Drosophila melanogaster: one gene and its partners. The protein of the gene in region 3 interacts with the protein of the main gene of each other region in a pairwise test. Each region holds a gene or a part of one and is shown on either strand. Other genes may lie near its edges. The genes, in order: CG3527, rb, CG7945 and fest.

What was found.
Region 1: the proteins of CG7945 (region 3) and CG3527 interact in a two-hybrid assay, tested with the Drosophila melanogaster proteins (one large-scale study listed by BioGRID).
Region 2: the proteins of CG7945 (region 3) and rb interact in a two-hybrid assay, tested with the Drosophila melanogaster proteins (one large-scale study listed by BioGRID).
Region 4: the proteins of CG7945 (region 3) and fest interact in a two-hybrid assay, tested with the Drosophila melanogaster proteins (one large-scale study listed by BioGRID).

Annotation. Positions count from the first base shown.
Region 1 is NC_004354.4:4,549,592-4,555,174, forward strand, and holds CG3527 (uncharacterized protein), read left to right. Parts: upstream 1-2,381; 5' UTR 2,382-2,484; coding exon 2,485-2,652; intron 2,653-2,716; coding exon 2,717-3,307; 3' UTR 3,308-3,415; downstream 3,416-5,583. Other genes in the region: CG15912 (uncharacterized protein), read left to right, coding at 1-223; CG11436 (uncharacterized protein), read right to left, coding at 819-2,216; CG11444 (uncharacterized protein), read right to left, coding at 3,744-4,391. UniProt on the Drosophila melanogaster protein: S-adenosyl-L-methionine-dependent pseudouridine N(1)-methyltransferase that methylates a pseudouridine in 18S rRNA.
Region 2 is NC_004354.4:4,534,068-4,543,744, reverse strand, and holds rb (ruby), read left to right. Parts: upstream 1-3,118; 5' UTR 3,119-3,439; coding exon 3,440-4,081; intron 4,082-4,141; coding exon 4,142-4,970; intron 4,971-5,035; coding exon 5,036-6,259; intron 6,260-6,313; coding exon 6,314-7,101; 3' UTR 7,102-8,110; downstream 8,111-9,677. Other genes in the region: CG3568 (uncharacterized protein), read right to left, coding at 1-569, 623-767, 833-1,042; CHOp24, read right to left, coding at 1,689-1,838, 2,194-2,528, 2,601-2,742.
Region 3 is NT_037436.4:15,520,123-15,526,910, reverse strand, and holds CG7945 (uncharacterized protein), read left to right. Parts: upstream 1-2,773; 5' UTR 2,774-3,078; exon of another isoform or gene 3,079-3,193; coding exon of another isoform or gene 3,194-3,399; intron 3,400-3,446; 5' UTR 3,447-3,695; coding exon 3,696-3,943; intron 3,944-4,330; coding exon 4,331-4,351; intron 4,352-4,408; coding exon 4,409-4,551; intron 4,552-4,715; coding exon 4,716-5,092; 3' UTR 5,093-5,200; downstream 5,201-6,788. Other genes in the region: CG33985 (uncharacterized protein), read left to right, coding at 104-718, 781-999; CG33986 (uncharacterized protein), read left to right, coding at 1,688-1,703, 1,762-2,579; yellow-k, read right to left, coding at 5,263-6,291.
Region 4 is NT_033778.4:19,339,466-19,347,802, reverse strand, and holds fest (wurstfest), read right to left. Parts: upstream 5,995-8,337; 5' UTR 5,720-5,994; coding exon 5,432-5,719; intron 5,236-5,431; coding exon 4,852-5,235; intron 4,791-4,851; coding exon 4,612-4,790; intron 4,550-4,611; coding exon 4,373-4,549; intron 4,239-4,372; coding exon 4,092-4,238; intron 4,022-4,091; coding exon 3,758-4,021; intron 3,580-3,757; coding exon 3,477-3,579; 3' UTR 2,049-3,476; downstream 1-2,048. Other genes in the region: Rgk1 (Rad, Gem/Kir family member 1), read left to right, coding at 1,706-1,750.

The DNA of each region.
Region 1 (5,583 bases), on a different chromosome or scaffold from region 3:
TGTTATGAAGCCCGAACGCGGTATCTTCGAAATTCCGCTGCAGAGATTGCAAATTCCAGCGGAGCAGGCCCTTCACATTGGCAACAAGTTGGATATGGACTATGAAGGTGCCCGGAATTGCGGCTGGAGCGGTTTGCTTGTGAGCAACGCTGACAATCCCCATTCTTTTGCCAGTCTTTCCAGTCTGTTGGAGGCCTTAAAAACCCAACCAATCCGATGGTAATCCACCAAAGAAACTCCTCTCGGGAACCTGCAGTTCTTCGATTGGATAATGGCTGTTGTTATTTTTGTAGATTTCCTTTTTTTTTTGCATTAAGATAACATAACTGAATGTAAAACTAGTGGTAAATATAAATACGCGATCTTAATGATATTTTTTTGGGAAATTCGAGGTAGGAGGTTTTGGACAAATATAAAACATAATATAACAAATATAAAAATAAGCTGTCTGAAAACAGAAATAAACAAAAGAGTTCTTAGTTGAATACAATTCAAAGCTTATTTCTTATCGAATGTGAAAAAGTCGTTGTTTAAATATTCATTAAAAGATATTATTAATTAAAGTGACATAACGATGCTGTATTATGCATCGAAAGAACCTCCTCCTTTCGAACATTTCCGTGTATAAAGCCTGATAAAACTATACCTGAAAACTTATCCTATACACACACACACACACACTCGCACACGTCTCTTGCACACATACCTAAATACTAATTAAGAACAGATTAATCGTACAAGCTATTTTGTGACCAAAAATATTTGGTTGCTTTGTGAAGGGAATGTGCCAGTCCATCTGTTTGTAATGGCAATCATTACTATGTAGCCTTTGTCGCCTTCGCAGGCATTTGGGCCTTGGCCGCCTTAAGCTGCTCCAAATTGAACTGTTTCCGGATTTCGGTGGACACCTGGCGAATGACCGCATCCGTATTGGCCTTTAGATCCCGTTCCAGCACATCAATGTCCACATCCTTGCTCTCCAATCGCATTTGCATGTCCGAATAGAAGTCACAAAACAACACCGGTTCATCTGAACCATTCGGCGTCCTCGTGCTGCAGTATTGACCCCTTCGATGGAGATCATCGTTGTTGGTTTTGGCGTCCAGGCCAAGCAGACGTCTCGCTCCCAATGGCAGCTGCTGTTGGATCAATCTCTCGTGATTCTGAGAGATGTGATGCTTCAGCTTCTTGAACTCCTTCACCTCGTTCTGCATGTACTTCACATAGCTATACATCTTGGAGGTTTTCTTCGTTAGGTTCTCTAGGCAACTTATAAAGTTTCGCACCTGCTGTGTTCTCGGCAATGTGCTGGGATCCAGTCGCTCGGCTTCGTCGAAGTGCTGCAGTGATCGATTAAAGTCGTGTTTCATGGCCAGTGCAGAGGCCAGGACCACATGATTCTCGGCCACATTAGGAGCATGTTCCACCGCAGCGGTCAATATCAGATCGGCATCGGCCAGTCGACCCATTCGAAAGAGTATGGTACCCAGACTCAGCAGGGGTATATCCTTAAAGATCGGCGGAGCCAGCAAGGCAGCCAATCTGGCACAGGGCAGGGCTTCCCGGGCATTTCCTCGCATGCGCCAATAGTACGAGCTTAGGGTGTGGAACTTCCAGGAGGCCGGATGATGCTGCAATCCGTCCACCGCAAATCGCCGGGTCAATTCCACGGTGGCCATGCCCACATTGGTGTCATGCTCGCGCTCCAGAAAGGCAGCGGCCAGGACCTCGGGCCGAAAACTCTCCAGATGATCATAGGTGGCTGGACCCACGCTTAATCGATGGTAATCGCTGCATATCGGCTCCATTCCCATCGAGGATGCGCTCTTCTGTATGTGCAATTGCCTCTGGTCCGGAAGATTAATCCTTTTCAACTGCTCTGGCGTAATTTTCAGGTAAGACATTCGCTTCTCCAGCATGTAGTAGTCCATGGCGCACTTGGCCTGCTCGGCCAGATCCTCACCGAAACGCATCGAAAATCGTAGGTGCTCCACAATCTGTTCCCGCTTGCGCAGCAGATCCAGATAGGAGCGCTCCACATACTCACTGTACCTGATCTGCTTGAGAAATGCCGCCAGATTGTGGGGTTCACGCATGTGGAATGGAGAGTCCAGTTTGGGCACGATCTGCTCCTCGCGAAGAACCCAATGATTGCAGGCCTGGATCAGGTGAAAAAGGCCAAGCAGCACGGCGAACGCCAGCGGGCACAGGCGCATCTTGTAGGATTGCAAAACCAGGAGGACGACAAGGATCCGGTAATCCAAATGCAAACAAAAAATAAACAAACTCGCCGTCGTGTGACCAGACCCAAGCAAATGCATTCGTTGTTTTTAATACTGAAAAACATATGCCATACTATTTAAGTTGGGTATTTAAGGGAGCCCGCAACAAGGTCATACTGAACTTGTGCATTTCGAAAAACGTGCGGATTTCTTAAGAATAATTTCGGAATTGTTTTTAACCATATACAACTACTTTTACGATATGGGCGGTCAGGGCAAGGCGATCAATAGGAAGCGTAAGTTTGTCGGTCGCAAGGCGGACGATCCGGAGTTCGATCTGGACAAGAAGCAATTCAAGGTGCTCCATCTGAATGCCACCGAAAAGCGGCTGATCATCGTTTTGGAAGGAGCCCAACTGGAGACGGTGAAGGTGGGTCATCATCCTTCCATACATATATATATATATATATAAATACATATTTCCATTGCTGCAGGTGCACAACACTTTCGAGCTGCTGAACTGCGACGATCACGCGGGAATTATGCGCAAAAACCAAAGAGATCCCGGCTCCTGTCGTCCGGACATCACCCACCAGTGCCTGTTGATGCTCTTCGATTCGCCACTGAACCGGGCCGGTCTGCTTCAGGTCTTTGTGCGCACCGAGCATAATGTGCTTATCGAAATCAATCCCCAGACGCGCATCCCGAGGACATTTAAACGCTTTGCTGGCCTAATGGTGCAATTGCTGCACAAGTTCCAAATTCGCGCCAATGACTCCTCACGTCGTCTGATGAGTGTCATTAAGAATCCGATTACGGATCATGTGCCGGTCGGTTGCAAGAAGTACGCCATGAGCTTCTCTGGCAAACTATTGCCCAATTGCCGGGATCTGGTGCCACATGGTGACGAGACGTCGGCCAGCTATGATGAGCCGGTGGTCATCGTTATTGGAGCCTTCGCACATGGCGTTCTCAAAACGGACTACACGGAGGAGCTGTTCTCCATTAGCAACTATCCACTTTCGGCGGCCATCGCGTGCTCCAAAATCTGTTCCGCCTTCGAGGAGGTTTGGGGCGTGGTATAATCCAAGTCCAAAGCATTGTTTTTCTTAGTTTAGTCATAGCTAGTAGTTAGTCTACATATTATTCTTTTGATTGCCTTCCATTAAAATTTGGTGGAATATCCAGACCAGAATACTATTTTCATCTTTCTTAAAGTTTAGAACATACAAAGACGCTTATATATATAGTTATAATATAATCTGGGATCCTAATTAATCATCACGAAACACACGCACTTTCTCTGTTTTTACAATTAGTTGGTTTATTTATGTTAATTGCAGTTACAAAAGATAGGCTTAGAAAACTTGCATAATTTTGAAGGTATGTTTGCGGTAATTTATGCTTAACTAATTGCACTGTTCATCAAAAGGATTATTGCGAATTTTGTATACGTTGCACGATTGAGAGCTCTATTAAATCCCACATGGGAAAGGGAAGGTTTCAAAAGGGATGGATTATCTACTTGGCACCCGGCTTTTTGGTGCCCACATCGGCTGCCTTCTTTTCCGCCTCCCGCTTGGCGGCCGCCTCCTCGCGCTGCTGCCGGATCAAAGCCAATCTGGCCAGATCGGCCTTAGCCTCGGTGGTTTTACCAGCAGCATGGAGTTTCTCGTAACGCTGGCGCGCTCTCTGCTTTTCGATCTGTTCGCGTTCGCGGCGAGAAAGCTCCGGCTTGGGATTACCGCCGGCACCGGCTGGCCCGTCGTCCAGCTTGATGGCCGATAGCTTTTGTGTGGCCTTCTTGGTCACCCGGTTGGGATTCTCGATTTCGATGAGTGAGGCCACGCCCTTCTTGGCATCGCGCGCTTCCGCTTCGGAGTCATCGTCGGAATCCTCGCCAGACTCCGATTCCGAGGAACTTGCCGCACCGGCGCCCGCCGCTGATCGAGACTTTTGATTGCGATTCACGGGCGCTTTACGTGTGGCGGGTGCCTTGGCTTTGGACGCAGAGGAACTGGCTTTGCCGCCGGCAGCGTCTTTATCGTCGCTATCTGATCCCGAGCCGCTGGTCTGGTCGCTATCCTCCTCCGATTCCTGTTGCAGTTCCTCGGGAGATGTGAAATGGCGACTGCGACCTTTGTGGTTGACGAACTTTCCTCGTGGCATGATGATTTATGGACTGATCCTTACGGTTTCCCGGGTATTCGCAGGTCTCTCCTCCTGTATGTCCGATGTGCTTGTATCTAGAGCTTTTACTCTGGCTACGTTAACGGATTCTTACGGTCCGTTTATGTTTCGAAAATTATCTATATTTAATCACGTTGTAAAAAATTTTTTTGCACTATTCACAGTGTTGTACAGTGCCGGTCAAAAGTGCGCCCGTGCATTCACTGCATAGTAATACCGCATAAATAACACGAATGGTAATACCGTATCACGCCTGGCGCCCTCAAGTGTTCAAGTTTGCTGTACTCGGTAATTAACCGCTTCCATAACCGTTTCAAAACAAAGCGGGAAATTCGAAAATGTCTTTGGTTGTTTAATTTTTTGAATTTGCTTATTTTTTTTTTTTTTTGCTCACTTCGCTTGACTAGCACTTTGAATAGGAGCCTACTTAGCGTAGTTTCTGAGCATTGCAAGTAACTTTGGGATAAACTCTTTAGTTTTATGATTTTTTGTTTATCATTGTAATTCTAAAATATAAAATATTTGTATACATTGGAAATTAAATACATATATAATTTCCTTGCCCTTCACCTGCTATCTATCTGTATATAATCTCACTAAAAAATATCCCGATTTTGGAAGTGTGCTCTTTGCGGCTTTTATAAGAAAAAAAAACGGAAAACTGCTTAAAATTGAAATAAATAAGGCACACGTGTTGGGAATTCTCATTTGGGCGATGGCAAACCATAAATTAGTGGTACATATTCCACTCTTTTCTTTTTATTGGGTCAACACCATCGATTGAAAGAAGAAAAACCGATTTTACTTTTACTCACTGATTGGTTTCTTTTTTGAAACCGCCATTTTGTCGATTCGCTGCAACTGCAACTGCAGCTGCACAGAATCTCGAGATGCAGGAAAACGTGATTATGTATGTATGTATGTTTGTGTGTATATAAATGAGTCGCACTGGCATTGGTCTGCTGCTGTGATTTGCCGGAAAACCAGTTTTTCTTCGCTTTTCACTGGCCGCCCGCCACAAGTTGCAAGCGAATAATGCGGCATTAATAACCAGAAATAAACGAAAATCGTTTTGCATATTTGTGTCAGCGCACATTCCTCGATATCATGCATCTCATTAACGGAAACTCTCACATATGTACAACTTATTGATTTTGGCCGGCAAGAAAAA
Region 2 (9,677 bases), on a different chromosome or scaffold from region 3:
AGAAACCTCTTCGAAACGCGTAGTATCATACGGAGTGTCGGCGTAAATGAAGTCCCTGGGCTCCTCGTAGAACTCGCGCCAGATTCTGCGCAAATCTGATGCAGGTGTGACCGTCTCGCTGGATATCTGTTCCAAATCGAAACCGTAGCCATTGGCCTCAGTATTTTGGGTTTTAGTAATCATGATATCCTGGTACTCCATCACATCGGGACGCTCGAAACGAGCTCCAATTAGTCCAATCACAACGCCCTCCCGTTCGATAGTGTCCTTATTCTGCAGCACCTCACCCCCATTGACCCTACTGCCATTGTTAATGAACTCCGAGTGGCAGGACACGTAGAGCAGGGCGGACAGCTTGATCTCGTCGTAGCTGAGCACCGAGGTCAAAGTGAGGGGTTCCTTTTCGGCGGGCGTACCCACTGCCTCGAAGCCCTCGTTACCAATATTTCCCTGCATTGTACGGTAATAGTCGTTAGCGCCAAAGAACCACACACATCTCTTCGCCAGCAGGCGCTGCACAAGGTCAACCACAGTCATGTCCTTGTAGATGGCCTTCTCCTGCTCGCTGCCTGTAAAACGATGACCAGAAAATATAAATTCTTTCGATTGTGATTGTACCCACCGAACGTGAGCTTGTGCTCTAAGAAGCTGATAAAGAGTAGGAGGGTCCGTTCGTGAATCACCGGATAGGCGGATGCGATTTGTTCCCGTATGCGGTCACTTCGATCTTCCGGCTGTGCCTTCACTCGGCAGGAATCGATGCCAAACTAATGTGGGGGGATTATATCAATGTCAGAAGACAATTTTGCGAAACCAATTCCAATGAGTATACCTCGGCGGGAGACTGCTCCGAAATAGCTTTGAAATTATCGAGATCCACCGAAGCGTCCGGCTTTGCCATTTGGCCACATTCTTGAAGCATCCGCTGAGTGAAAGCATTTTCCGGCAGATTTGTACGTTTACCAGGCCATATGATAATAGATTTTCCGCACAAACATGCCAATTTGGGACGTTGGGAGAGCATATAAAGAAAAGATCTCATCGCACTTTTTGGAGTCACTTTTAGGAGTCCGGACAAAAAAGTTCGCCGCTGATAGGAATATATGTCAACTGTCACTGGACGATCCAGTGCTGCACACCGACGTCAGATTTAATAACTTATTTCCACTGTCACATTAACTACCCAACACTCAAAAAGATTTGAAACGAATTTAATATAGCTTCTGAAAAGTTGTTTTATTTCCATTCAGATATTTCGAAATTATTATAGAATCCATTTCCATTTCGAAGTTGCAAACAAACTTTTCTCTTGTCAACCTACATTTATTAGAAAACAAATGGTTCTTATCAATTTAGTTCGAAAGTTCACAAGTGTCTCTTCCCCCCTTGAATGTGTGTCTGAAAATATTTGCTGTTCTGTTTCCATTAAGAGATATTTGGTAATTAAAAAAAAATATATATATTAATTTCTCTAATATAGCAATCTCTGTTAATAATTCTCGAAACAGAAACATGATCGACATACTTTCAAGCACTAATTACTTTTTACAAGGTATTTTATTTAAATTACAAAAGGATGTTAATCATTTAAATTAAATCTGAGACTGCAACGCATTGCGCACACATTTCCCCCAGAGCTTCGTGTGCCGCCTTCCTTTGCTACTTCCATCCTGGTTTTCCGCTCGGGATTACACGACGCGCTTGACCTCGAAGAAGCGTTTCAGGTAGTACACCTGGCCCACTGTCATCAGGACCAGGACGAGGGCTTCGAAGGTGGACCACAGCACCACTCGCGAGTTGGTGTTCTCGTTCACCGAACGATGGATCTTGTCGCGCACCTGAGGGAGTAAAGAAATTGGAGGATTAGTCGTGGATTACTTCACAAATAATGTCAATACTGATTATAACCGATGGTGAAAACATGAGTGTTTGAAAATCGCTACTAGTTATTGTTTATGTGGCAGCTAGCAGCTCCATTCCCTCGAACAAGTCTACCGACTCCGCTCTTAAATCTTGCGACGTGGATCTGTACAAGTAATGCTGGAGGCATGCCAGACTATGTGGCAATAGTTACTCGATTGCTCCCATATTCCATGTACCCCTAATTCTGCTACATGTTAAACTCTTCCAAAACCCCCAATCATGATTATGTGGCAGCTGGATGCTCCATCTTCACCTCGTCTCTTCACTCACATGCATGTACTCCTGTTCGTGCTTGACACTGGTCAGCGTGCCGGAGAGCTCCCGAATCATGTCCTCCAGCTTGGTGTGGCCCACCTCCTCCTCGCCGGGTGCTCCGGGCGCACGTTGCGGTGCGTCACCCACGTCGATGGAGAACATGACCAGCTTGGGGGTCATGCTGCTGCGTTCGTTGTTGAAGCACACGGTGTAGGTTCCCTTGGCGGGGGCCACAAAGGTGTACTTGCCGGACGACTCCTTTTCGCTCTCGTGCATCACATGGTTATCCGGGCCGCTGATCTTGATGTCCACGTCTAGGAAGCCACCGTCGATCACCTCGAAGGTGACGCCTGTAAAGTCACCATCATTTTATCAGCATAGATCCCTTGTCAATTGACCGAAAATCCATATCGCTCACGTACCAAACTTGGTGCCGCCTTCGACGTTCTCGAAGAAGCACTCCTCATTGTGGGCGTCCACGCTGACGATGAAGGCGTGGCTGGTGCGGCACAGGATCAGCAGGCTGCCCACAAGGAGCAGCACCTTGGCGAGTGTCGATTCCATCGTTTGTCTTAGTACTTTTGGCCTGGTTTTAATCGCTATTAAACGCACTGCAGCCACGTAGTTGTAGTCGATTCGATATACTCCGATAGATGTAGACAAATAGGGCATATCGAAGAACAGCAGTTTCCGATAGATTCGGCATCGATAGGTGCACGCGACACGCGATACCGAATTTTTAACGGATCACTACAAAAAACTCACAACTCATAAAAATTCAAAAGCAACATGAATGCCGCGAAATGTTTCGGTTAAAGTATTGGATATCGTAACTAATACATTACTTTATTTATGTGCGTACCTATATGAAAAACTCTTGGTGCATTCCATCACAGTTAGTTAAAGTGTTCTAGTATTTTTGTGCTATGTGTTAATCGGCGACTATCGACAGTTGCCCACCATTAGGAAACAGAAAGCTAAAAAAAAAAATGCAAAAATTGGCCAGAATTTCGGCATAAATAATAGTATCCCTTGCAAAACTTGCAAGCTGCGTGGCAGGACGAGCAGCTGACCACCAGATCGTCTTGAGGATTCAACATCAGGAACAAAGGTTTCACATTGGACGCATTTGCAAAAACCGAAAGGGAAAACTGCCAACTCCCACACACAAAAAAAAAGGAAAAAAAAAATCATCAGCACGGAAAGTAAAAGGTCAAGTGGTCAACCGAAATCTGGGTAATCCGGGGGAATCTTTGCAAGAATGCAGCAGAACTCGGCCAGCAATCCCTTCGCCATGTCCACATATGTGGAGCGGCCCCAAATGGGACTGGACGTCGAATTCGGAGCGGATCCTGCCAGCGGAGCAGCTTTCTTCCAATCCGATGGACGCAAGCATGATGATCTCAAGCAAATGTTGGACAGCAACAAGGATGGACTAAAGCTGGAGGCCATGAAGCGCATCATTGGCATGATTGCCCGCGGACGGGATGCCAGTGATCTGTTCCCGGCAGTCGTCAAGAATGTGGTGTCCAAGAATATCGAGGTCAAGAAGTTGGTCTACGTCTATTTGGTGCGATACGCCGAGGAGCAGCAGGACTTGGCCCTGCTATCCATTTCCACATTTCAGAGGGCGCTCAAGGATCCCAATCAACTTATTCGCGCCTCGGCTCTGCGAGTGTTATCCTCCATAAGGGTCAGCATGATTGTGCCAATCGTAATGCTGGCCATTCGGGATAGCGCCGCCGATTTGAGTCCATATGTGCGGAAAACAGCGGCACATGCCATCCCCAAGTTGTATTCTCTGGACGCGGATCAAAAGGATGAACTGGTCATGGTCATTGAGAAGCTTTTATCGGATCGCACTACTCTAGTGGTGGGATCAGCGGTGATGGCCTTCGACGAGGTGGGTCTGCAGCTAAAGTAAAACATTTATCCTCTATATACGACGGATCTTTATTCGTAGGTTTGTCCGGAACGTGTAGATTTGATACACAAGAACTACCGCAAGCTGTGCAATTTCCTGCTGGATGTGGACGAATGGGGTCAGGTGATCATCATTAATATGTTGACCCGCTATGCGCGCACTCAGTTCGTTGATCCCAATGCGGATGATGAGGATCTGGTCAACGATGGCCTGGGCGAAACGCCCGTTAGTGAACGCTTCTACGACGAATCCTCGCACTCCTCTTCCCACAGCGATGATGGCAGTAGCGATGACGAAAAAAACAAGTCGAGTACGAACAATAAAAACAATGGCGGAGGAAATGGCAGTAGAACACCCAGTTCTCCGAGCAACAGCTACCACATCGATGTGGATCACCGCCTGCTGTTGAGGCAAACGAAACCATTGCTCCAATCGCGAAATGCCTCCGTGGTGATGGCAGTGGCGCAGCTCTATCATCATGTGGCTCCCAAGAACGAAGTGCAATTGATTGCCAAGGCGCTGATACGACTGCTGCGATCGCATAAGGAGGTTCAGAGCGTGGTCCTCAATTGCATTGCCTCGATGTCCACCAAACGAAAGGCGATCTTTGAGCCGCACCTCAAGTCGTTCTTTGTGCGCACCAGCGATCCCACGCACATAAAGCTTCTCAAGCTGGATATTCTCACCAATCTGGCCTCGGCGGGCAGTATTTCGCTCATTCTGCGCGAATTTCAAACCTACATCTCCAGCAGCGATCGTTCGTTTGTGGCGGCCACGATTCAGGCCATTGGACGATGTGCATCTAGCATTAAGGAGGTTACCGAGACCTGCTTGAGTGGCCTGGTTCATCTGCTGTCCAATCATGACGGTGCGTTAAGCTTTCTTTTAGCCATTTGTATTTTAATTTTATAAGTATTCCGTTATTCCATTTAGAACACGTGGTGGCCGAGAGCGTGGTGGTGATTAAGCGTCTTCTGCAAACGAAAGCCGCCGAGCACTTTGAGATTATCACCCAAATGGCCAAACTGATCGATTATATCAATGTGCCCGCAGCTAGGGCAGCCATCATTTGGCTTATAGGCGAATACAACGAGAAGGTGCCGCTGATTGCCCCGGATGTGCTGCGCAAAATGGCCAAATCGTTTGTCGATGAGCAGGATGTGGTGAAGCTGCAGGTCCTAAACTTAGGCGTTAAGCTCTATCTGACCAATCCGGAGCAGACATCGTTGCTGTGTCAGTACGTCTTTACGCTGGCTCGCTATGATCCCAACTACGATGTACGCGATCGTGCCCGTTTTCTGCGGCAAATCATCTTTCCGGCGAGCGGAACGAGCTCGGTGCTCAGCCAGCATGCCCGCCAAGTATTTCTCGCCAGCAAACCGGCTCCGGTGCCGGAGAGTAAATACCGGGATGGCAATAACTTCCAGTTAGGATCGTTGTCTCACTACCTGAACATGCCAGCGGCTGGCTACAAGGAACTGCCCGCCTTTCCGGTGATTCCACCGGATTCATCGGTACGCAATATAGCTGGATTTATGCAGGACAAGCTGCCGGGTGAAGACTCGCCATCCGGACATTCAAAGGATAAATCCGGCCGTGAAGGCGGTAAGGAAAAGGGTGCTGGTGGCGAGAAGGGCTTCCTCTCTGAGTCGGACGACAAGTCTTCCGCTTACTCGGAATCAGGCAGCAGCAGTGGCAGTGGCACCAGCGACAGTGAATCCGATAGCGATGGCAGCGGGAGCAGCGATGAGGAGGAGGAGGAGGTGCAAAAGCAGCAGCCGACCAAGGTTTCCTCGGTGAAGGAGCGGCTTATCGATGCTGGAAGCAATGAGCTGGCCGCTACTTCTTCGCCTGTAAAAGCAACTATAAACAACAATAACAATGCGAGAGGTTCGTCAGGAACATCGGACAGCGAGGATTCATCAGCGTACAGTGGCAGTAGTAGTGATGACAGCGCTTCCGGTAGCGATAATGAAGTGAAAAAGAACGAAACGAAAACGGACACAGGCACAAAGCCGGAGAAGTTGAAAGAGAAGCACGAGAAACAGCCGGAGCAAACGGCTGTCAAGAGCAATCTGGACCTGCTACTCGATCTGGATGACATTCCGCCCATTGGTCCCGTGATGACGCCCTCGTTGGGAGGATTCCTGACGCCTGGTAAGGTGATGCGCATCTCTAAATTGGCCTCTTTATATAATAATTCTTCAATAGGCACACCAATGATGGCTGGACAGGCGGCGCCACTGCAGCCGCAGCACGCCCGCAATCGGGTGGAATTGGTGGGTCCCTCGCACATCGAGTTCAAGCACAAGGAGCTGCTTAACAAGGTCAGTGGCCATGGACTGCATTTGGCCTACCGTTTCACCCGCTCCCCGCATCTGTACTCCTCGAGCATGTGCTCCATTGAGCTGCAGTTCCAGAATCGTGGCGAAAAAGAGATTACGGCCATTCGTCTCGGGCAAACAACTCTGCCGGCGGGCATGCAATTGAATGAGTTTGCGCCAATCACTGTTCTCCAGCCCCAACAAACAGCGAGTGGTGTGCTGGGCGTCGATTTCAATGATTCGACGCATGCTGTAGACCTGGAGCTTCTGTCAAGTGCGGGCAGTTCACGACTGCAATTGAAACCGCCGGTGGGCGAGCTGGTGAGATCCGTCCAGATCGGCGAGAGCTGTCATCGCGAGGAGCGGGCCAAGCTGCGTGGAATGAATGAGCATCAGTGCGAGTTGCGTGGCCTGAGGCAGGACCTAATCGATGTGGTCGCATTGCGGCAAAAGGTTTTCGAGTCCATCAACGTGGCGCATACGCACAGCTCTTCCAGCGGTCAGCTACACTGTTTCGCCGGCCAAACCCTGAGCTCCAAAAGCCTCGTGCTACTCACCCTCGATTGGAAAACAGAGGATGCCCTCACGCTGCTGGTAAACTGCGAGAAAATGGTCATTGGATCCATGGTGCTCAACGAGCTGCGCAATGCTCTGCAGCTCAGTTTCGCCATGTGAGCGATGGACACGAAAGCGAACAAGACGAAAGCGAGCAGCGAACTAACTTGAGGAGTGGAATCCCCTGGAGCAGGGCTACTCAACTGAGAATAAGGCAAAGCCGCCTCACTACGTAAACATAGCATTCATATTTAGCTATACACTTGTAAACGGGCGGGGAGAACGTAATCTTTGAAATTAGCTGATAACATTAGCTGAGATTACAGGTGTTTTAAATTCCATTTTCGAGAGATTATATGTAAATGTGCAGTGTAACAGATGCAACTTAAGTGTTCAAGTGGGATCGAAATCCAAAACTAATTTAAATTGCAATTTCAACTGTAATTATTACATATTCTTTAACTTGTTGAAAACTGAATGAAAAGTGATGCAAACTATTGTGTAAATGCTACAAAACTATATTTATTGTTATACACATTCGCAAATTCTTAATGAAACTTATTGAAATGGGAAACACACAACTTCCTATATATTTGTATCCGCTTATACTGAGATATTTTGCATAAAAGAGTCACCATTTCCTTTTATGAATGGATGAACACAACATGAGATTAGTGTAGCTTTCATATCCAAATCGAAAATTATTCAAGGATTACCAACCGCCCCGCCCAAATATAAATGAAACATGATCCTAACGCTTTTAATATTCCTATATACAAACTGCAACCACAAACAATTCCAGATGAAATGAGATGTTACAATTGATTGAACTCGAATCGTTGCCGATCCAAACAAATCCTATCCTCCAATCCATCCTACTTAGCTAGGCGTGTGTGTAATGTGTGTATGAGTAATCGAAACGTATTTGTAAAGTGTTTGATGTTGTAAATCTGTTGCCTTCGTGCTCTATGCGGCCTTCTTCAAAACGTAGCAAAGACAAACGAATATCGAATCTATATATTATATATTATATTCATACAATAAACAGCGCAAATTCTGGCAAATTAAAGTGAACAAATGAAACGTATTCTAATAAAGAAACAAATCAATCTGTTAATATGCCTGAAACAAATAAGCTGAATCTCCGCATTGAAAAGCTGAAATAAAAGCTTACATTTTAAAATTGAGAACGTCTTACCTGTTTTGGATAAACGAATCAAGTTTAATACACGCTCGCACATGTCAAGTAAAAATGCTTTTTTCAAAAGTTTTCAATTATTTTGATGTTTATTCACGCTTGTTCTTGTTACTTTCTCCACTCACCAAACAGAATATAAGAAGTCAGCAAGGACAAACTTTCAAATGCAAAAGAATCGAATCGAATTCTAATTAGTTCAATTCCTTAAAATTCGAGTTGATTTCTGCATTTATGTATCAATTTCCTGCTGCTGTCGCTTGAAAGTCGGGATTGCTTCAAAATAGCTCCGTGGGAAATTATAGAAGGAGGTTGGACATACTGACATGCTGGGTTATAGAACATACATAACTCATTCCTCAAATCCTACGCTGCTTTCTCCAAATCCAACTGTGTTTTAGGTGTCGGTGTCGGTGTAGTTGTAGCTGTATTTCCTTGTGTTCTAATTTGGGTTCTGCACAATTAAAAAGCTCAATTTCATGCTTATCAATATAAACGAGTTAGTTAGATCGCTAGGTTAGTAATGTTTAGTTTAGTTTTGGATTCGCTGCTGCACTTAAAGATCTCAAGTAGTAGTTTTAGTAGTTGTAGTTTTCGGTTAGGCTAGGCTTTAAGATCAACGGCTTGAAAGTTCCGAGTGATAAGTGAAGAAATATAGGGTTTTGGGGATGCTATATAATGTATGATTAGGGGATAGATAGCATGTATGTATGTACGAATAGTACGAGTATGTACGTATGCATTAATGTAATTTTTGGGTAATATGGCATGGGTATATGTATGCTGTAATAATGGGTTGTGAGTAGTTCTTGACAGGCATATAGTAGAGCGTTTGTATATAGTGTCCTGGGGTAGTATCGTTCTCTTCTCGTTTTCGCTATTCTGTATACACGTTATATAATATGCCACGGCCTTCGTTCGCTTAACTTCATATAAAACTAGTTTTTTTTTTACCATTTTTTTTTTGTTTTGTTTAGTTTTCTTTCTTTTAAATGTATATGCAAGATGTATATATCGATTTATGCAGTATGTGTGTATGTCTAAGGATGATTTTCAATCACTTATTGTTACGTACGGTGTTTGGTATAACATGCTTCGCTTGGACTAGCCCGATGGCCTCTTTCTCCACCTCTCCCGTTTTGTCTACCTTCAGATTTATTAGATCCGGCGGATCGTTCAAATCGTTCTTTCCTTCCCTACTCTCTAACTTCAATAACATATAAAGCATTGGTTTGGTTTTGGTTTTCATCTTTGGGTGTCTTAAATGGGCAACGAAATAGTTATCGCTTATCGCACAAACGATATTTTCGATTATGGCTCGATTACCGAGACTATATAATCGATAAGCATCGATAGCTGCGAAGCGAAGCATTGAGAGGGCCTAAAACGGACGGATTGCTACCGTTAGTCAACGGCTAACCGTTCGATGCCTGTTGTTAGTGCATTTAAGTCGTTAAGTTTTTGTTTTTATCACTCTCTCTTCCTTTTTGTTTGTTATCGT
Region 3 (6,788 bases):
GTGTTCATGGGCAAATTATTTTCTGATAACGAAAGGTGGTAAGAAAACCCCAAAGTTTGCATACGCAATCGATCAGTTTACCATTCGAGATCGAGCTGAGAAGATGTTTGGAGTATTGAAGTTTGGATCCATCCTGGTGTCCCTCCTATTTCTGGCCACCAGTCATGCGGATGTTTTCGATGAGTGTAACGATGGTAACAACCTATCCTTTGTTACTTCGCCAAAGAGTTGCGCACATTATATCTTCTGCAACGGCGATGAGTCATACGATGGTGAATGCGAGGATGGCGAATACTTTAGTCAAGATATGGAAATGTGTGAGCCCATGGGCGATATCGACTGTCGCACGGGATCGGAGGTGCAAAGGGAAAACACTACCGACAGCTCCTCAACGGAGATTACCTCGGAGTCCAGTACGATTTCCACAGTTGTAATCACCACATTAGCCCCATCGGCAGTGGTCACATTACGACCATCAGTCAATCAAAGTGGAGCCAGCAGTACGACTTCCGTATCGCCTGCTATAGAGATTATTGTGACCAATGTGTGCCCACAACTGGATAATCAGAGTCGTATCGCATTGCTGCCAAATCAGAACTCCTGTTCAGATTATTACATTTGCTATCGCGGTGTGGCACTTCCCATGAGTTGTGCCACCAGTTTGCACTTTAATTCACTCACCGGAAAATGCGATCATCCCGAAAACGTTAGGTGTTTGGTGGGTTAACCTATGGTACTTCATATCTTATAATTTTTGTATAATAAATTATTTATTTACAGGCCATGACTTATAATCCCAGGGAGCAGTGCAAGCGACATGTAATCGATGTTTATCCGCATTCCGACAACTGCAATTACTTTTACCAGTGTCGCTCTGGCTATTTGATGGTCCAGCAGTGTCCTTTCTTCTACGGATGGGACTACGAGAAGCGATCCTGTGTAGCACTAGGTCAAGCCAAATGCTACAACAAGCTGCAAATGCAAATGAAAATTTATTAAATACACATAATAATATTTATTAAAAAAAAAAAACGAAATTTTACATTTAGTTAATTAACGAGCTTTGTGGAAAAATTGAAAATATTGAACATAAAGTGTTGTATGTTTACATATGGAATAAACCTAAATACTGGTAATCAATAAGACTTCTTTGTAAAACTATCAAGCAACACGGCCGACCTTGACTCTTTCCTAAATTTATCAGGTGATATCAAGCAATTCTTTCATATCTCTGCAAAATGAAGACCTTGAATCGAAACATTTGCCAAAATAGGCCAACCTTCGATTTGAAACATAGTAATTTGACCGATATGATACGATTTTCCTCACAAGGACAACATATGTCATCGTGATATCACCTAATCAATTTCCTAGCTAATCTCGGCTTCCTTTTCACCAGACTTTAAAATTAAAAATCCAGCATTAAAGTTGTATCTGCTTGCCATTTCGAGATACGATATCGATTGATTGCGAGGAAAGGGAGCCATATTTCTTTTTTGGCAAAACAAAATACAGGAGTCTTATCAACTTCTTCCTACAAGCAATTGAAAATGTTAATTTTCTGATACTGAGCCACATATGCGGCTGTATCTTGGCGCCGAATGTATCACATATATGCCAAGTTCACCGGGCATTACGAAATTAGAATATAACTGCGCTCTACTGGAGTCTGACGATAGAAAAAACGATGATGCTTAATACGGGTTAGTAAGATGGATATTCTCAAAACTAATAGTATGATGAGAATTTATTGGTTTCCAGCTTTCTATTTGATCGTGAACTGCTTGCTGGCCACAGCGCAATTAACCTGGAGACCATCGAAGCCCACAAACTCGGTGACCATCAGGCAGAGTGGTAGTAGAATATGTGCCAATCATTTGGTTGGTGAGTTTGTGGAGCATGCGGAGGACTGCCACATGTTTTACCTGTGCGTTGAGAACGGGGATGCAGTCCTGGCTTCCTGCCCACCAACGATGCTCTTCAATTCGGAGAGCAGACTCTGCGATTCGGCGACAAATGTAAAGTGCAGAAATGAAACGGATCCCATAGAGACTCCTCCATTCGATGGCGGAAATGGTGATGGAGATCCGAATAACATGGTCACGGATGCCGCCACTTATTGCTCCACGTTGGTGGAGCAACAACAATCCAGCGACAGGATTGTATATGTCGGCAGCTCGAGTAGTTGCAGAAAGTACTATATTTGCTACTATGGACAGGCGATCTTGCAGGAGTGCAGCTCGCAATTGCACTGGAATGCAATGACGGGTAAATGCGATATTCCGGAGAGAGCCCAGTGCACCGTAGGTGGTCAGGAGGATATGCCAACGAATGGAAATTCCGGTTTCCCATCCGGTGGCACCGCCATTTCGAGTGATCTCATTCACTGCCCCGCCTACGGACAGCATCTGTATCCCCATATGCAGCGATGCGAGTTCTTTATCTACTGCGTCAAAGGACACGCCAGCCTGCAGCAATGTCCTTTCTATTACTTCTTCGATATTGCCACCAAAAGTTGTCAATGGTCGCGCACGGCTCAGTGTGTGCGAGATTTAAATTTGGCACCACTAATAAAATAGAAGTTTTAATATATGTAGCATACAATTTTTTGAACTTTGGGAGATACCAAATGCTTTTAGAGAGGTTTCTTTTAAAAGTACTACTACTTTTAAAACTCCCGCCGATTACAGATGAAAACCAGAACTAATGTGTGTACACACTAACTTTCGACAACAATGTTCGATGAATCGGTTTCGATAAAGTTGACTATATGGCCACTGTTCTTTTTTGCGGTAGTCAGACACGGTCATACAAATCCCACAATATAATGTTAAATTAATCATATTTATACTTATCTTCATTTAAGTAAAGCGAAATATTCGATTGACCCTCGAAGTAAACAACCCAGGTGCTCAAAAATGAAGCTAACAAAGTTAGATTAATCGGTGTCTACGAATTATCTGGAAACACAAGCATTTCCCGTCATCTAACTCAAACTGCCCAACTCGAAAAATCAACAATATTTTTGCATCGGGCCAAAGGTGCATTAAAACCGGAGCCTCAAGTCTCGGGCGGCAGGTAATTTATTCAAGTTCAAAACAGCCACCCGGGGATTCTCCTAGACATCGGTTGCCACAAGAAAAGAAGAAGAATTAGGCGTAATCTTCTAGAAAATTGGTGATTTCAGCCGAGAATGTTTGAGAATTTTCGAGGTATTTTTCGGAAACGGCGTCGCTGCGAGTCGGACACAACACCGCCGCCACCGCCGCCGCAACCCGCCCAGGAGGCGGAGATAATAAACCGATATCCGGAAGATATAGAAGCCGATACGCCCGAGTCCAATGATGGCTTTGACGCCTCCTGGACCGAAGGCTCTTTTCACAGCCCACATTCAGATAGGTAATTGAATTCTGCGCATTCACGCTTCCTCTTCTCTCTTATTGCAGCTTCAAAGCAAAAACAGATAAAATTAAGCTTAAGCAACAGCATCAAACACTTCGACACCCACTCGAAAAAAAAAGCTTAAGACATTCCAAAAAAAGTAGCCAGCAAAGCGGCTAAAAAAAAATAAATAAGATAAAACCAAAACCCAAAACGAAACAGTAGGCAGCTATCCAACCATCTTGGGTGACAAACACTTGACCGGCTTTTTGGAGGGCGACAGGTTTAAATCAAATCTGGAGCAGCCGCAGGATATGGAAGTTGATGCGCCAACAACGCAGGAAACCAGTGACACTCATCATCATCACCATAGTACTTATCACCAGCAGCTGCATCAGATCTCGCCCAGCGATTACCACTCGGAGGCATCCATGAATTTTGATCATTTGCAAGACCTGAGGGCCGATGCCATGGCCTCCTCATCCCCATCCGGATCCGGAGGTGGTGGCAATGGCGGGAACAGCTCCTACGGACTCGTCGACGATAGTAGAGCTCTGGACAGGTTGTTATTCCATCATAACTAAAACCAAATCAGACACGAAACCAAAACAATACCACCGATTATATTCACACAACCTCGTAGCGAAACAAAAGTTATACGTTTCTTATCTATTATTTCTTCACACTACCAGCTACCAGCTTCATTCGAATCTTTTGTTCCATAATAGTAATGGTGATAGCTTAAAGTATCTGCCGCGAACGCCCACACAACTCTCAAAAGAGCTTTGTGTGCGAGCGCCTTTTCTTGTAGACATATTCTGGTTATAATTTCGTAGCTCTATAAGTGGTCAGTCGATCTGTAGCAGAGCGATCTAACAATCTAACGTTGCTTGTCTCGTTTCATGACTTAACCACTGAACCGCAATCACACTTAACCGACATGTGACAGACCATTTAACGCCAGCGAGAGGTAAATCTTGAATTTATAATAACCACTGAGCGTGACTAACCTTTGAGTGACTCGCAGATTTGTCACCATACTGGATAGTTTGGATGCACGTGTGGAGAAGCTGCGCAAGGATGCACTCAACCTGCAGGAGAAGAAAGACTACCTTCTGATGTCCATGGATCTGATCAAGAGCAACGAAATGATGCAGAACATGAGCGAAGGTAAGTGACAGTGATTCTTAAAACTAATTTGAACCCTCATTGTTCATAGCTTTACTAAAATGTGTATTATTTCGAAGTCGGAAGTAATGGTTTCTGATGACAAACTAAGTAAAGGGTTATTCATAGTTGACTGTGAGCTAATGTTGTACCACCTTCTTTTGCAGCTGAACGAGAGGAGATCATTTTGTACCTACAACGGGTGAGCTCTCGCTTGGCCACCGTGGAGCTGCGTGTGCGCACTGTTCGGGACAACTCTCAGGAGGATTCCCTTAGCCAGATAAATGTATTGATTGACAGCATGATCAAGATGGGTGATCCCGTGATCGGACGCCAACGATGCCAGTTTTACTTAAACGCCTGCTGCAGCAGCTCAATGGATCCATCCGGACACATGGACACCGTGCCCGAGGCCGATGTTGGGCCGGTCGACAAGAAGTTCGAGAGCGTTTTGCTTGGCTGCACTCTGGACGATCAGAAGAACATCAAGAAGCGGCTCCAGGCCTTAATGGCTTATCTGAATAAGCAAACTGTTAGCCATTAATTAAATTGTTTTTTGGTCTATTAACTATTCATAGCATTATTATCAAACCAAACGAAATACATCACCAAGCTAGATGAAACGAATAATAAAGAAAGCAGCATATACACCAGGCCAGCAGTGTTTGAATCAAGTAAAATATAATTTTAATATTTATATTAACAAACTAAATGTTATAAGCTAGGAAAGCACATGTCCTTCGCATTCAAGACCCGATCACTTAGGACCCATAATGCATCATTGGAGGTGAAGAAAATCTGCTGAATGTTCTTCGATGTGATATATATGATTTCGTTGCCCTCGGCTGTGATGTTGGCTAGTTTGGCACATCGTACGACAGCTCCGAATTTGGGGATAACATAGTACAATGTTCCGAAATTGTCGATGATCATGCTGCGACTGCTGCCCAGAAGACTGCCCAAATGTGTGAGTTTAATGCTATTGTTAATTGGTTTGCTTGCTAATTCGCTTTTGCCTTCAATTTCCAGTCTGTCCACCGTACTGTATAGATCACCATCCTGGTCGGAGAGTATGAGTTCCCCTTGAATTCCGAAGATGAAATCCACTGGCTTGATGGGAAACGATTGATTCATATTCTCGTACTTATTGCTCTCCAAGGATAGGCGGTGCCACGTCTGCTCCAGGATGTCGTAGGCTAGAATTTCTGGTACCTTTCCAAGGATGAAGTAAATATGGCGCTCGTGCTCGCATCCCGGACTCTTGGGTCCCATTTGGACAGTCAGAAAGTGGGTGTCATTAGCACCTATATGGTGTCCACAATCGATTCTCAATAGCTCCGCGTTGTTACGCATCAGATCGAAGACAAACAAACGGGGTGAGCACGTGCTGCCGGGAAATCCGATGTCCATGACCCACAGTCGACTCAGTGCATCCACCTGGGACCAGTGTGCCTGTTGTACCAGAGAGCAATCATCATGATCCCCCATGGAATGAACATCGATGTGGGGAAAGACGACAGTGGGCATGGGAAAATAGGAAACCGGCCATTGCGCCTCGATCAAAGTGGGCGCATCGTTGCTTTCTACATTTACGCTGAGAAACACTCGCGAAAAGTGCATCGATAGATGACGGACTTTGTAGCTGGATTCGTTTAAACCAGATTCGGATAACAGCCAGGCGTCCGTGGCCAGAATTAGACCAACAATGAGAAATCCCAAGCCGAGGACACCATGTGTGACCATCTTTAAACGCGAATTCAGACTGAGCTTAGGGCTAGAGAACTCTGCTTACGTTGTAAGTGCCCGTTCAAGAAGTCCACCAAAGTGTCTACATCAGCAGTTGGGATCGGGTGTCGCCGAATATATCGGCGACCTGCATTAATGGGGACCAGCATTGGAGTGTTTCTCTATTCACTTGTGGTCCCAAAAAAAAAAAGCTTACCAATTTCAATCGGAGAATATCGAAATCATGACACAGTTTCCTCTTAAAATTACCCAAAATTGGATTGTTATATTTTTCAAAATAAATCAAAGTTAAAACCAACAAAATGGTTGTTTTGTACCACCATAATAACCTATAATAAATAAATCATAATAAGGCTATTTTTGTCGAACTTTAGCGATATTGATAAGGTTCCTGTGAACTGAACCTACCTTAAGTGCTTAGTTTTAACATAACCTTAATGTTAACGAGTATTTCTTCGCGTAAAAGTACAAAAAAACCCTATCATATCTTTACA
Region 4 (8,337 bases), on a different chromosome or scaffold from region 3:
AGAGTGCCCCAATCTACCTTCGAATGAATTCTATTCATGAATAATTTATGAATTGTGTCATGATATTGGCAAGCAGCATTTTTGTCATTGATATACGATATATACTTGAAACATGTCGTTCACAATCACCCTTTCGCCAATGCCATGTTGCGTTTATGGGTTTTTGGGGGCTAACAGCTCCGCCAAGGAGAAAACATCCATTGGGGACCACTCACTTTGAACTCCCGCTCAGCTCAGGTGGCTGGTCTGATTGATTTGATTGCTGTCACCTCAGGCTTACGCATCCGAACATAGAGATTCGGATGAAGTGCTCACCATGACAGATGGAGTTACTCAAATTCGTATGTATTTTGCGTTTATCTTGCCGGTTGAATTTAAGCCTCTTATCCGCAGGGGTAAATATTCATAATTTTTCATTTACCCCCCGTGGGCCATTCGTTTCCCATTAAATTAAACGAAGCTGAATTTTCACGCAGTACGAATGGGTGTATCCTTTACTGTCTGCCGTCTGTTCAGTTTTGGGATTTTCCTGGGTAAATCGGTTAAAATGCAATTATCGTCGGCAGTTGCAGTGTTGCAATGCGATGGCTCTTTCATTTCGACGGAAATCGAATTGATTTGCTGCATGACCACAGAAGAAGACAGGTGAAACGAATCCATGCGACGATTTATGGCCAGGAATTAAGCCTCATTGAATTTGTATTAATGTGAACGTAATACCGGTGGAGCGAGACTCGCATAATTGAAGAGCCCATTAAATGGTAAAATATAAAAATTGATGTCTTGCCTATCCAGCCCATTCCAACTTTTGTCGGAAATTGAATTTGATAAACTTTCTAAAGGCAAAAGGCGGAAGAAGAGAGGAGTTTCTAGGCAGCAATTAGTCCTTTTTGAGAGGATGTCGATGGGTGGTGAGGAGTGGGGTGGGGGTGGCTTGGGCTTGAGTTTGGGGTTTTGGGTGGAAAACTCGGTCAGATGAGATGCTACGTGCCATGCGTCAGCTGGAAAAATGGGAACCAAAAAGTTTGTTTATGCTTAGACTTTTTGGCCGGGTTCTCAAATTCGGGACCATATAGCACCGGAGCTCTGGCTTCGACTGCTGCTGTCATTCAAGTGTTTTAATCAATTCTGATTTAATTTTACGCCCAATTAAGTGTGAAAAGCGTTTGATGTTGAGCACGGGTGCGAGAGGCAAATGGCACCGTATACGCCCCCCGTTCCCATCCAACGGATTTTTCCGACCAAGTCACGCAAGCGTGAGCATTGAATATGCCATATGTGTGTGTGTGGGTCTCGCCCTTTATGGCTCCCTAGCTGCTGAGCCACATAACCTCGGATTCAGGATTCAGCCGGGTTCGGGTTGCTGGGTTCGGTTAGCGACTTTATTTAATACGCAGCACTAGAGTAAACGCATTTTTAGATGTTTGTATCCGCCTGAGCTGGAGACACTCACCATCACCGCCGCTTGAGTATCCTTGCCTTGTGGCTTCCGCACCTGCCCATGCTCACCGCCTCGCTTACGCTCACCCGCCATTTCTCTCTGTGTACCCGCTAACCATGGAACCACTTTCTTCCTATGACAGAGTCAGCCGTGGCATATAGTTCCGCCCCAGCATTATCCACTAATCTCTATCAACAGCCACTGCCAACGGGCCGCTCCTCCGGCTCCAACTCCAGGTTAAGTCTGTTGGAGAGCTTGGTCTGCATGACTGCCGATCCCATATCGTTGTGCTTTTGGATTTGTTTGCAGGTAAACATGAAGACCTCTCATCTTTTATAATATTTGTATATGAAAACCTTTTTTGGCAAACATTCAATTACTTTTAAACGTGCAATTCATTCCTTTAAATATTTACATAGCTCGCAAACTCTTTAAGCCCGAAAAGATTTCAAGTCCTGATGGCCCTTCAGGTGCCACAACTCCTCCAACAGGGTTGTAATGTGAATTGTAGTCGTTAAGCAATTTTCTTGTACTTTTACAATGCCAGAGGAAAGGTATGAGGTCATATATGGTTGCCAGGAGCCGCTGAAAATTGTATCTCGATCCAGATTTAACCCATGAGAATTAACAAAATTATACGAATCTATTACAGTAGCGCAGATAGAATTTACTTTATTCAGGACTTTCATGTATTACTTTTTGACATCGATTTTTGTGCACATAAATTTCGATATACATGAGGATTAAATTTAGAGTTTTGAAGATTGTTGTTGTAAGGCTACACAGGTATAATTGCAAGGCGTTTCACTTTTTTTTTTTTAAGGAATGGTGTTTAAAAGTGTGCACGTGTTTTAACTTTGTTTTCAAAGACGACTGCCTTTTTCAGATAAGCGTTTGTTTCGTAAGCTAATTAATTGTATTCCATTTCAGTCACAATTTCTCACTTTGGCCTGTCGTGTGTGTGTGTGTGTGTGTGTGCTTGTGCATGTGTGCGTGTATCTGTATTCCACGAGTGTGGTAGTGGTACTATTCCGTCTACACTTGGAAATTTAAGCACTAAGTCCACTCATTTTACATTTTACGCAACGTTTGCGCTGTAGAGTGTGTGTGTGTTGTGTGAGGATGAACATGGTTGGATTGTAGTAACTTAACTAATCTTAACTGGTAACTTAGAACTAACTGAATTGTCACTGGTGTTACGTTGGCCAAAGCAGCCGTCGTTTGTTAGCTAATTTTTTATCATGCAGAGGCTAATTTTGATATCAGCGATTTTATCAATTTTTGCTTATTTTTTTTTTTTTGTGGAAATTTTGCAACTTTCGATTTTCAATCTTGCTGAATTTGTTGCATTTCAAGTACGTGTCGAACGTTTAAAAAATCGTTGGAAACTTAATTTTGCTATACTGTGAGGGCCGAAAAGAAGCGAAACGCGAACCAAGTTCATTCTTTTTATAACACCAAACGCTGGCCCTGATCGAAATAGCATTGTCTTGGCCAGCGTTTCAGGCAACAGGTGGATTTTCCAGAGCCTATTCCACCTGAATTGCCTGTACTAAATAACGGTATGCGTATAAAAACAAGGATATCGAGGGCTAGAGAGATTGTAAGTGTGATTATCTAAAACTAATTCCCTAGTGTTTGCGTTGCGCCTACGTCGAGCAATCGAAAAGCAATCCTTCAAGGATCAGGATCGCCAGTTTTCGTTGCTCGCGCATTTTTTCGAGCTGTTTCATCTTAAATGCAGTTATACATTTATAATTTTTTTTGTTTAGAAGACCAGGTTTTCTTAAATGATCTGATCCCTCTCCACGCCGAGGCCCCAGTTTTCCAATGTTGTTTTGTTTGGATTTTTTGATTTTTTTTTTTGGGGGGGTCACTATATCGACGCTTGAGTCGGTTTGCGTGTGTGTGTTTTCTGTGATGTGTGTGTGGTGGTGGTATAATGGGGTGATTTTCGATTGCCCACGCTGGGTGGCTATAGGTGGCATTTGGATGGCCACCCAACGCGATGCACATCCCATGGTGCGAGCGGTACTTAGTAGACAATGAGCAGGTTGTTTTCATTGAATCCAGCCGAGTGACCAGCATTGCGTACAATGAAACAGGATCCGTCGAAGTGCATGCGCTTCTCATTACGACTGCAAAAAAAAAAAGAACAAAAGGAATCTTCAAATATCCGATTAACTGAATTACTGCAAAAGTATGGAATCAATTAAACACTATCAGTGTTATAATCGAATAAATATACGACGAGAACAATGCATTCTTCGAGTGCATCATTATTGCAAATAGGTGTGGATGCAGTGGCCAACTCACCGGACGAACAGGTGCGAGGTCTTGCCCAACGAAGCCGTGCAGTGGATGCCGGTGGTGGTCAGGGTGGCGGATCCATTGCCCGGACTGGTGCGAATCAGGCACTTGCTGTGCTGGCGGCTGACCTTGACCAGGCCGTCGGCCGCCTGGGTGATGCGGAATCCATTGATGTCATACACCTCGGTGCCGTCCTCGGCGCAATTGTAGGTGGAGTTGGCGATTACGTCGTGGGCATCGGACACAAAGGATGGGCCGTGGCGCGAATCGCTGGAGGGTGTTGTTAATTGGAAAGAGGAGCTTGGCGAATTGATTTGGGCAAATTTCGTGCTTAACTCACTCATAGAACACCGCCAAGGTGTAGTCCTTGGTCAGGTCGGTGAAGGTATCGGTGGTGGTGCGAGTGCCAGCTGTGTCCACCAGATAGATGAGGGCACAGGACTCGCTGGTGAAGCTAACGCCCTTGTACCACATTTTGGCATAGCGACTGGAAGAAAATGATTGCAGCTATAGTTGCATAGATTTTATACGAAAATCTAATGAGAAGTACAAGTTTAAATTCCAAAATACTAGTTGTTTGCCACTCTTAAAGTAAAGGTTCGATTCTACTTCTAAGCTTACACAAAGTTGTTGGCCTTCATTCCGTCGTAGGTGACGATCTCCACCTTGGAGCCGCTCTGCAAGATGCGCCCATTGGGATGGATGAGGGCAGAGTTGCTGCAGTTGCGCGATAAGGCGGCGGCAACCATGCTGCGCTGATTCAGCACACGGACAGCCTTGTCCAGGGTCATGTCAATGCTGGAATCGGGAATGATTTGGAATGATGATCAAGGGATAAATCTCCTACCACGTTCACTTACCGAACGCCCTCGCGCAGGCGCAACTGGATGGTGCCATTGGACATGGCAATCGGTCCAGATCCTGGACACGGTGGTGGTGTGTTGTTCTCGAACTCAAAAGTGCGCGAGCTGACGCGATCCATAGCAAAAGGTGGTGGTGGCATTGGCGATGGGAACTGCTGGGTGTGATGTGCCTGTGGCTAGGTAGATATCGCATATTTCTAAAATACGAAACACGGGGCAATAAATCAAAGCACTTACCATGCAGTAGGCTCCATCCACCTCATAGCCATAGCCAGAGTTGAAGCGTCCCGTTAGACTCTTGCCGCTGCGCGTAATATTGCCGGCATCCATGTTCCAGCCCATGGTCTCGTAGCCGGCACCAGATTGCGGCAGGACTCCGAAGCCCGAGTGGGAAGATGCGTGCATGCCCATATTCATGTAGCTGCGGCCGCAGCTGTTTGTCTGGCTGGAGCACTCCTTGGCCAGGACGGAGGTGCTGGTGCCCACGCTGGCGCTGTTGCCCATGCTGCTGCTGCTGTTGCCGCGCTCCAAGCCGCGCTTCACTCCGCCAGTCAGCGAAAGGCTGCTCATACGTGGAGCCAATGGGCTGTTCATCGATGACACAAAGCGCATGGTGGCTTGCTAGGGATTGGTAAGGGAAAAGGTATCACATGGTACATCAAAGATCACTTGCAAAAAATGGGAAGAAAAGATGACTTGCAAAAAATGCTAAGAAAATATGACTTGCAAAAATGACTTGCAAAAATCAAAGAGACGATTTTTTGCATATGCCTTCAAAATGAAGGCAATCCTATGGAGAAGTGACAACTCTACTCACCGGCGATGGGTTGTTGTTGGTGAATACGGAACGCTGGCGCACACCATTTGGAGCCTTGGTGGGCGAGCGCAAGATGTTATTGATCTTGTCGTTCAACTGGGCGCGGGACAAGAAGTCCTCGGCATTGAAGATGCCAACGCGGCCGCTCTTGGGCGTGGCCAAGGGGGCGGGGCCCGGTAGAGCCAGCTCCTCGACATGGGGCTCATCCAGGGCGCCGGAGTGCTGGCACTGCACCTCCTTGGTGCTGCTGGTCTTAGGTGCAACGGTGTCCTGGGCGTCGGTAACCATTTTGTCAAGATTCGATTGTTCAAAATTTATGGGAAAACCGTATGGAATCGAATGGGTGATGGATGATGGTGTTGTTGTTCTTGGTTGAAACGGGGCCTGGACTTTGGTATGTGGATCTAAACGAGAACGGCACACGCGGCGTGCTGGACAGCGAAAATCAAAGTACTCTGCTCGACACGGAACACAACGACTCAATGAGAGGAATTTAATTTTTTACTTTTTATGACTTTTCAAGAGCACTGCTCGCTGCGACAATTTTCGAAAGAATGACTTGCCTCAAGTGCCGATGGAAGGATGTGCCATCAATTCTGACACTCACTGGCCTACCGGGTTTTTCGATAGTTGAAAGTGTCGTAATATCGAGTACACGATACTTTACTTTTCCCTTCGTCCCTTTGAAGCCCTGGCACTTTTAGATTTCCCGTGAAAGTTCAACGTATATCCGATTAGTGCTGCATACTTTTAGACGGCAAAAAGCTGATTGAATTCAAAATAACGCATTTAAGGACGACACTGTAGTGCAACCCATCTCCTCGCTTTTAGTGGCCGGAAAACGAAGTTTCGCCTTCGTAATTGAATCGAGAAATAGACTTGAACACACGCACAGCAGTGCAGCTTCCAGCAATTTATTGCCGCTCATTTGTATAGTTTCTACGCAGCTATAAGCTGCAGCAAAAGACTTAGGCTTTAAGATTTATTGGGAAACTGCATTTTCCGAACGGGAGAAAGTGCAAGAGAAAGTGCCGTCATTCTTATCGATGCTGGTTAAATGCTGAACAAGTGCGCAGAGTTGCAAAGTTTTGAAGCGTTGGCAGGAAATGTCAAGAGTCAGATAAAAGTGATGTTTGCACGTAGCACAGTTTAGTACTTTGCTAATAAAAAGCTATCCCCTTCTAAATTGTTGCTTTAACGTGGCTTAAATATGTTGTCAAAGTCAAACAATCACGCAATTTAAATGTATTATACATTCAACTGAAACTTTTAAATTGACATATTAAATAAGAACTGGCATTTAAAGTTTCTGCGAAATGTAAACTGCTCTTATAGAACTTTCCAGTCGAACAGCTACAAATTTTTGGATTATTTCTTAATGAATAAACACTAAAATCATAATATATTTTAGTAATAGCTGCTCAATCGTTTTTCTTGTCAGTTATTAGCCATTTTATTTGCCTGAATGTTGACATATTAGCCACAATTTTGGCAAACCCCCAAGGTCGTTTTATTTCCATTTTTGTGGGTTCACTAACTCACCTTCAGTGTGCAAAGTCCCTGAACTTCCGGAACTATTGTGTTTTTTGTATACGACTGTCAACTCTTTCCGCTCTCATGATTGATTTTGCCTCTTGATTTCAGTTTTTTCTTGCGCGGATTAGTTTGTTTAATGAGCGCATTGACTCCTTGCATTTGGCCATCGGCCCACGCAGATTTAGATTGACACTTTCGCCATCATATCTATTTAAATGGACGCGTTTATTTAGACACTTGGCTGGCATATTTTTTAAATTTTATTTTTGGCACTTGGTCGGATCATTAAAATTCAGCCACTGCAGCTGCAATTCCGCCCACGCATCGCATTGACTCAGTTTTGAGCAACACCAACTGAAAGTGAAAATGTGTAATATATTTATAGCAGGAATGCAATCGCATATGCATTCAATGAAATACGGAAACTCATTTGTAAAAATCACCCCGTCCACCGAAGTGATTTTTCCGTTGTCACTTTCGCCAGCCGCAAGTGAAACAAATTGGTTAACCTCCTTTTTCAGTATTTATCGTTAAAAATATTCGCAAATATTCAGACAGCTGAAAATTCAGATTTTCAGCGAGCGTCGTTGGAATAGTTTGCTAAATTTTGAATTCAAGTTGTAATTACGCTCGTTTTGTAAAGGCAAAGGCACATTTGATATGAAAACTAAAAGGAGAACATCAGCCAAATGAATAGAGAAAATTCGCTATTACTTGCCGAAGCTCGTTAAAATGTGGAAAACTATTTTCGCCTTCTGCAGTCAGTGAACTTTGGCGCAGACAAAGATCATAAAATCCATACTAGTGTAGCGGCTATATATAGAAAGTGCATAGGACTCCGACTTGGCCAGTGTTGCAATCTTTGACGTCACCGTTCGCGTGAGTGGCAGTGCCAGTGGTAGTGGTGACCACTCAGATTGATGAGAAACTTATGGCATAATTGAAATGGCTTTTAAAATCCATTTGTTCAGCGCCTTCTTCCTTATTAAATCCTTAGCAATTTTCATTAAAAACAATTAGCGCCAACGACGCCACTTGCCTTTGTCGACAATACCAGCCCCTTCAGTTTCTACTGGGGGGCAGGAGGTGCTCGGGAATTGAATGGACTGGGTTGGAATCGGTTGGGATGGGACGGGATGGAAATTAATTGATTGTCAAGATGAGGCAACGGCAACCGAGCTGTGTAAACAAATAAATGTGTCTGGTCATTCAGCGGGAGATCTTTGTTGTCGCCTCTAGATGATAATGCCGCCCCGCTGTCAGCTATGGAATTACACTCACCCACTATATATATATATATATATATATATATATATATATATACAGATATTCCGAATCCGATGCACATACATTTACGGATCTCAACCGAC